Xenopus tropicalis: one gene and its partner. The protein of the gene in region 1 binds, or shares a complex with, the protein of each later gene. Links are inferred from orthologs where the notes say so. Each region holds a gene or a part of one and is shown on either strand. Other genes may lie near its edges.

Evidence for each region. The genes of interacting proteins can lie anywhere in the genome.
Region 2: the proteins of src (region 1) and ptpn1 are in contact, whole or in part, in a crystal structure (PDB 3ZMQ), measured with the Homo sapiens proteins. The link is inferred for Xenopus tropicalis from reciprocal best matches to the Homo sapiens genes SRC and PTPN1. Residues at the interface, in NP_005408.1 of Homo sapiens: Glu527, Gln529, Tyr530, Gln531, Pro532; in NP_002818.1 of Homo sapiens: Arg45, Tyr46, Arg47, Asp48, Val49, Asp181, Phe182, Ser216, Ala217, Gly218, Ile219, Gly220, Arg221, Ser222, Gln262.

Annotation. Positions count from the first base shown.
Region 1 is NC_030686.2:39,477,131-39,481,267, forward strand, and holds the start of src (proto-oncogene tyrosine-protein kinase Src), read right to left. Parts: upstream 2,810-4,137; 5' UTR 2,648-2,809; intron 2,517-2,647; exon of another isoform or gene 2,441-2,516; coding exon of another isoform or gene 2,432-2,440; intron 1-2,431. UniProt on the Homo sapiens protein: Non-receptor protein tyrosine kinase which is activated following engagement of many different classes of cellular receptors including immune response receptors, integrins and other adhesion receptors, receptor protein tyrosine kinases, G protein-coupled receptors as well as cytokine receptors.
Region 2 is NC_030686.2:35,908,157-35,912,192, forward strand, and holds the start of ptpn1 (tyrosine-protein phosphatase non-receptor type 1), read right to left. Parts: upstream 2,824-4,036; 5' UTR 2,727-2,823; coding exon 2,658-2,726; intron 1-2,657. UniProt on the Homo sapiens protein: Tyrosine-protein phosphatase which acts as a regulator of endoplasmic reticulum unfolded protein response. Mediates dephosphorylation of EIF2AK3/PERK; inactivating the protein kinase activity of EIF2AK3/PERK.

The sequences.
Region 1 (4,137 bases):
ACTCAACAGGGATTGAGGCACGTGTGAAGGTGAGCTGGGATTTAGCTGGCTCTAAGGCAACTGTAGCCTCCACCTAGTACAAAACTACAACTCCCATCACCCTCGGGAGTTGTAGCTTTGCACTAGAGGGAGGCCAGAGCATAAATTTTTGGTTGAAAAGACCTGCTGATTTTATCTAAAGGTTATTTGCTAAGATACATTCATGTGTCAGTATATTTGATAAGCCGATGATAACAAAGCCTGGCACACGTTGCCCTTTACCCAGCCTAGCTACATAGGCCCTTCCCAACAACCTAGCATACATACCCCTGTATCAGAAGCCTTTCACTTGTACCAACAGTCTGGTACATATAGCCCTTTACATACAGTGTAGCAAATATACCTCTTTGACTACAGCCTGGCACATGTATCATTGTACTCAGAGCTTGAGAACTCACATACATATACCTACAGCCTGGCACATATACCACTGTACCCACTGCTTGGCACTTATGTACCTATACCTATAGCCTGGCACATATACCACTGTACCCGCTGCTTGGCACTTATGTACCTATACCTTCAGCCTGGCACATATACCACTGTACCCGCTGCTTGGCACTTATGTACCTATACCTTCAGCCTGGCACATATACCACTGTACCTGCTGCTTGGCCCTTATGTACCTATACCTACAGCCTGGCACATATACTACTGTACCCGCTGCTTGGCACTTATGTACCTATACCTTCAGCCTGGCACATATATCACTGTACCTGTTGCTTGGCCCTTATGTACCTATACCTACAGCCTGGCACATATACCACTGTACCCACTGCTTGGCACTTATGTACCTATACCTACAGCCTGGCACATATATCACTGTACCTGTTGCTTGGCCCTTATGTACCTATACCTACAGCCTGGCACATATACCACTGTACCCGCTGCTTGGCACTTATGTACCTATACCTACAGCCTGGTAAACAGCCCCTTCCTTTATCTAAAGCCTGGCACATATACCACTGTACCCACTGCTTGGCACTCATGTACCTATACCTACAGCTAGGGATGCACTGAATTGAATCAGAACACTAAAAATCATGTGCCTTTTTGTCATATAAACACAGAAGTTGAAATTTTTTCAGCGCAACCTGCGCACGAGGCTCGCTTTAACCCTTCCCTATCCTAATTTACATATGCTTGGTATTTGGCCGAATCCTTTACGAAGGACACTGAGTTTGACGGAATCTGAAAATAGTGGGTTTGGTGCATCCTACGTATAACCTAGCACCCTTAGCCCTTTACCTACAACCTGGCACTAACAAGGCGACATTGGAAAGTTATGATCATGGCCCTAAAGCCTCCTGCTTTAAAAGCTGCACAGCAAATGGTTAAAAGGGGGAGGGATACCCATTTGCTTGAGTACATTCATAAACATTTACCCTTGCCATTTGCTAATTGTAGCAATCACATAGTTAAAAAAAAAAACAATGCTGCCAGCTCTGTATGACATTTAATACCAATCTAAATTTAGATATAAACTATAATAATTGTGCAACCCACTGCCATAGTAGCTGTTTGACCATTGTGTGTGTTTATATGCAGAATTGTTCCACATACATACACAGGTACATAGCATAGTTTTGCTCCCCAGAACTACCCATACCTATAGAGCTGGGTTGAATTTTAACTCTCAACTTCAACCAGTAGCAGGATGGCCTTTGGTTTATTATAGAGAGGACTCACAAGTGTACAATCTATGATAACCCACCATGCACGCCTTGTACCCTTCACCACTCCTCCATGCATGCCCTGTACTCTCCAGCCATCCTTTACTCCCTGTACCATTTACCCACACACACCCTGTACCCTCCTGCATTCCCCCATACATGCCCTGTACCCTCCTGCATTCCCCCATACATGCCCTGTACCCTCCTGCATTCCCCCCATACATGCCCTGTATACTATAGCATTCCCCCCATACATGCCCTGTATACTATAGCATTCCCCCCATACATGCCCTGTATACTATAGCATTCCCCCCATACATGCCCTGTATACTATAGCATTCCCCCCATACATGCCCTGTATACTATAGCATTCCCCCCATACATGCCCTGTATACTATAGCATTCCCCCCATACATGCCCTGTATACTATAGCATTCCCCCCATACATGCCCTGTATACTATAGCATTCCCCCCATACATGCCCTGTATACTATAGCATTCCCCCATACATGCCCTGTATACTATAGAATTCCCCCCATCCATGCCCAGCACACCCAATATTGCTAACTAGCCCCTTCACTCCCCAATATTCTCTCAACTCCAGACTTGCCCAGTGACTCCCAGCATGCCCCCATCTCAAAATCATGTGTTAAATGTACGCTAGCTTATTGGCCCAGAAGTTTAACCCCTGATGTTCGCAGGAAACATGCTGCACTTACCCTGACCATTAAAGGGCCTGTGTGCACAACATATACACAGGCATACCCACCGAATACCGGGCCAGAGTGAGATTTAAAGGCCCATATGGTAGCAGTGCTCCAAATACCCCCAAAGGCGTTACATACACCATTCCCAAGCAGCCTATAGCGCCCCCATTCTCTGCACCCGTGGTACTATCCTACGCCCCCTAGCGGCACGGTGCAGCCACTACTTACCTTGTCCTGCCTGAGATATCGGGAGATTCCACTCTCCGGGAACCCCCCTCACACAGAGGGGGGCAAGAGCGCTCTTCTCGTACCCACTATCTCCCGGTGCCTCTCCCCACACATCAGATTCCTCCTGGGCCGGGAAGTTTGGGGATCTACTCAGCGTACGGTTCACGCCCGGCCGGCTCCAGCTCCCTCCTCCCCTCCGCCTGTGCTGCCCTCCCCCGGGTCCGCCTGTCCCTCCTCCCACTGAATCAGCCCTGGCCCAGCCTGTCACTCCCGTTGGGGGGTCTCTGTACTGCCCCAGTGACACCCAGCCTGCTCTCTCACCACAGTCCGGGGCGCTTATTAATTCGGCCTGTCCCTTTTTGTCTTTCCCCTTTGTCCTTCCCCTTTCATTTGCATTATTCCCCTCTCAGATCCCACCTCTAATCCCAACACTTCCCCCTCTCTCCTCCTCCCCTCCCAGAGCTAGCCTGGCTTCCCTTGTCTTCCTTTCTCTCATTCTTCCCTGGTGAGTCGCACCGACTGATTCACTCAACTAGAGGAATTACACAACCCTATACTTCTCCCCATACACCCAGCACCCACCCCTCTAGTACTTCTCCCCATACACCCAGCACCCACCCCTCTAGTACTTCTCCCCATACACCCAGCACCCACCCCTCTAGTACTTCTCCCCATACACCCAGCACCCACCCCTCTAGTACTTCTCCCCATACACCCAGCACCCACCCCTCTAGTACTTCTCCCCATACACCCAGCACCCACCCCTCTAGTACTTCTCCCCATACACCCAGCACCCACCCCTCTAGTACTTCTCCCCATACACCCAGCACCCACCCCTCTAGTACTTCTCCCCATACACCCAGCATTACATTAACATTTATTTATAAAGCGCCCACCCCTCTAGTACTTCTCCCCATACACCCAGCACCCACCTCTCTAGTACTTCTCCCCATACACCCAGCATTACATTAACATTTATTTATAAAGCGCCCACCCCTCTAGTACTTCTCCCCATACACCCAGCACCCACCCCTCTATTACTTCTCCCCATACACCCAGCACCCACCTCTCTAGTACTTCTCCCCATACACCCAGCACCCACCCCTCTAGTACTTCTCCCCATACACCCAGCACCCACCCCTCTAGTACTTCTCCCCATACACCCAGCACCCACCTCTCTAGTACTTCTCCCCATACACCCAGCACCCACCCCTCTAGTACTTCTTCCCATACACCCAGCACCCACCTCTCTAGTACTTCTCCCCATACACCCAGCACCCACCCCTCTAGTACTTCTCCCCATACACCCAGCACCCACCCCTCTAGTACTTCTCCCCATACACCCAGCACCCACCTCTCTAGTACTTCTCCCCATACACCCAGCACCCACCTCTCTAGTACTTCTACCCATACACCCAGCACCCACCCCTCTAGTACTTCTCCCCATACACCCAGCACCCACCTCTCTAGTACTTCTCCCCATACACCAA
Region 2 (4,036 bases), about 3.6 Mb from region 1:
CTGGTGAGCACAGACAAGGAAGAGGTTAAAATAAAGAATTCAAACCTGACAAGGATATACAATCAGGGTAATGCAGCCAGTGTTTTGGGGATGGACATTAACCTGTCATTAGACGTCCAGAAGCCCTATCATTAAACCAGCACAGTTCTCTGCTAAGCGGCACAGCGAGACCACTGCCTGGGAGTAAAATCACAATAATGCAACAACCCTGCTCAGTGTATTAAATAAACTCAAGCAAAGACAGACACTCTTGATACAATGTATTATTTTATAATTCGTCTCCCAGAAGGCAGAAATGTAACTCTTGATTTGTTCATTAGATAGACAGTATACAGCATACGCAGATTCCCAAACTGTGCAATAATCATGCCAGGGTATGAAAGGTGGCATTTCCCACGAATAAAAACGGGAAGTGAGATGTGAGAATGCCCTGTGTTACATGCAGCCATTTACTTACAGTACAGAGAAACAGGCACTGTACATACTCTGGGCCTGAATGCACAAACATTCAGCTGAACCAAGGAGCGGAAAATAAAACTATTATTAGAAGTTAGAATAAACAACAGCATTGTTATTAAGCTTCTCTGAACTAAAATGCTGGGATTTCTACCCCATAAGAGGGAAGAAATAACTGCAATGAAAGGAAATAAACACATTTCACCTGCAGAAATGGCTTGTTAAGCATGGCAAGTCTTTCCTGCGTTAGCCAGGTATCGGACCTCTTATCCGGAAACCCATTATCCAGACAGTTCCGAATTACAGAAAGTCCATTTCCCATAGACTCCATTTTAACCAAATAATTTGCATTTTTAAAAATGGTTCCTTTTTCTCTGTAATAATAAAACAGTACCTTGTACTTGATCCCAACTAAGATATAATTACCCCTTAATGGGGCAGAACAGTCCTATTGGGTTTAATTCATGGTTAAATGATTCCCTTTTCTCTGTAATAATAAAACAGTACCTGTACTTGATCCCAACTAAGATATAATTACCCCTTATTGGGGGCAGAACAGCCCTATTGGGTTTATTTAATGGTTAAATGATTCCCTTTTCTCTGTAATAATAAAACAGTACCTGTACTTGATCCCAACTAAAATATAATTAATCCTTATTGGAGCCAAACAATCCTATTGGGTTTAATTACTGTTTAAATAACTTTATTAGCAGACTTAAGGTAGGAGATACAAATTACAGAAAGACCTCTTATCCGGAAAAACCCGGGTCCCGAGCATTCTGGATAACGGGTCCCATACCTGTACTAATTATAAACTATAAATTGATTGTATTCAGGCTTAATCATATACAGAATGACACCCAGGTCTGGGGCCACAGGTTGGGTGTATATATTCATAGGAAGGTCCTAACAAGGACCAAGAAGTTGGACACAAGTACAATATATATTAAATACATTACAGGAAGTGCTGCTCCTGGCTATTTGTCTTTATACATATACCAACACACAAATGATATAAATATTATATATCTGTGTATAAGTATAAATCGCAAATTCTACACAAGAAACATAGGCCAATATCATTATTCTCAAGGGTTATTTCTAAACCATTCATGAACTGAAACCTGCTGAAAGCCATTGACACCAATGTGCAGAGAGGGTTTATCTTCCTATTACACAATTTGCTGGAGAATTCTTGATCACCGTTACCATTAAAGTATAAACTTTGCACAATGAGAGACAAATGCTAAATACCAAAAGCCGATAATAAAGCACCTCGATATTCAAAAACATGATGAATATTTGATAAATCTGCCTGTAAACGTGCATGGCTTTGTGCCTGTGTATATCAGCCTTGTATACTGTATATAGCCATATATATATATATATTATACAGACAGTAATGTATATGCAGACAGTACATTCCCATAGTGCACAGAGGGTATAGCCATATATATATATATATATATATATATATTATACAGACAGTAATGTATATGCAGTCAGTACATTCCCATAGGGCACAGAGGGTATAGCCATATATATATATATATATTATACAGACAGTAATGTATATGCAGTCAGTACATTCCCATAGGGCACAGAGGGTATAGCCATATTATATATATATATATATATATATATATATATATATATATATATATATATATATATATATATATATTATACAGACAGTAATGTATATGCAGTCAGTACATTCCCATAGGGCACAGAGGGTATAGCCATATATATATATATATATATATATTATACAGACAGTAATGTATATGCAGTCAGTACATTCCCATAGGGCACAGAGGGTATAGCCATATATATATATATATATATATTATACAGACAGTAATGTATATGCAGTCAGTACATTCCCATAGGGCACAGAGGGTATAGCCATATATATATATATATTATACAGACAGTAATGTATATGCAGTCAGTACATTCCCATAGGGCACAGAGGGTATAGCCATATATATATATATATTATACAGACAGTAATGTATATGCAGTCAGTACATTCCCATAGGGCACAGAGGCTATCACACATGCAGGAATTCCGCTAGAAGGGAGTTACGTGCCTGACAGGCAACACGATTAGCCCCAAGCAGCCGGCTATAAGCCCCCAGGATGCCCCCCCCCCCATGCAGAGAGTCAGGGCCCGGAAGCCAGAGAGCCGCTCTCACCTGATAGTTAGACCCCCAGCTGTTCTTCCTATCAGCCTCATGAAACTCCTTCTCCATATCCATATCCATGGCCGAGACTTCGCCTGTGTAAGCTCTCCGGGGTGTGTGACTGCCTCTCTCTCTCTCTCCTCTTCCTCCTCCTCCTCCTCCTCCTCCTCCCGCTGCCTGACACAACTGCACGCAGCCGGAAGCGCGCACTCCCACCTCCTTCCCCAGCTGGGAACTTTGGCGTCACTTCCGCTTCTTCCCGGGAACCAATGAGTGAACGAGGCTCAGGGGAGGGGCAGACCCGGAAGCGGCAGCGTTCCCCAATGGAGTTGGCAGCGGTGCGAGTATAATCCCACAATACACCGCGGCGAACCAATGTTCGGCAGTAGCCTCTTTTCCCTGTGCCAAGCAGGGTTGCCAGGTTGGCGGGTATTCCGTTAAATTGGGCTACTAATTGAAAGCCCAGGCGGGTTTCCAAAGTATAAACCAAATGTGGCCTAGTTTTGGAAGCTTTGGCGGGTTTGTAGTTTGGAAACTAGCCAAAGTTTTATTTCTGACATGCCTATCCCAGTGCATGCTGGGTAATGTAGTTTGGATCTTACTATTAGCCTACAGGTAAGGTTAATATAAAACTACAATACCCAGCATGCAATTATAGACAGAAGCTCCCTTTTCTGTTCCTCTGTACTGAACCTGAAGCCTCAAAACTACTATAACCTGCATAGACTGGGCACAGAGAGCAGGGAACCAGTCATCCTAGTACCTATGCAGGGCACGGGAAGTGATTATATGCTTTAAAAAAGGCATGTTTTTTAGACATTTTTTTCATTAAGCATATTAGGCTATTTTTGGGCTTCTTTCAAAGTGGCTTTTGGCTAGTTTTGGGCTGGTTTAAGAACTGACTTTGCCTAGTTTGGAAAAATAAATCTGGCAACCCTGCCCACAATACACTGCAGCAAACCAATGTTTGGCAGTAGCCTCTCTTCCCTGTGGAAAGTTGCATTTTCGAGTGGAGATAATATGGAAATTTAGCTTGTGTGCAGAGTCATGATACATTCCATCCTCTTGTGATCAGTTTTATTCACTACTTCCCTGCCTGCAAGTACAGAGAAGGAATGTTCTGGGCACACAATAAGCTGTACCCTCATACTGTACTGTCTAAGGGAAACACTATGGCACCTCTCTCCCATATGTATAAATACAAATATACAGAGAAAGAATGTTCTGGGCACACAATAAGCTGTACCCTCATACTGTACTGTCTAAGGGAAACAATATGGCACCTCCCTCCCATATGTATAAATACAAATATACAGAGAAGGAATGTTCTGGGCACACAATAAGCTGTACCCTCATACTGTACTGTCTAAGGGAAACAATATGGCACCTCC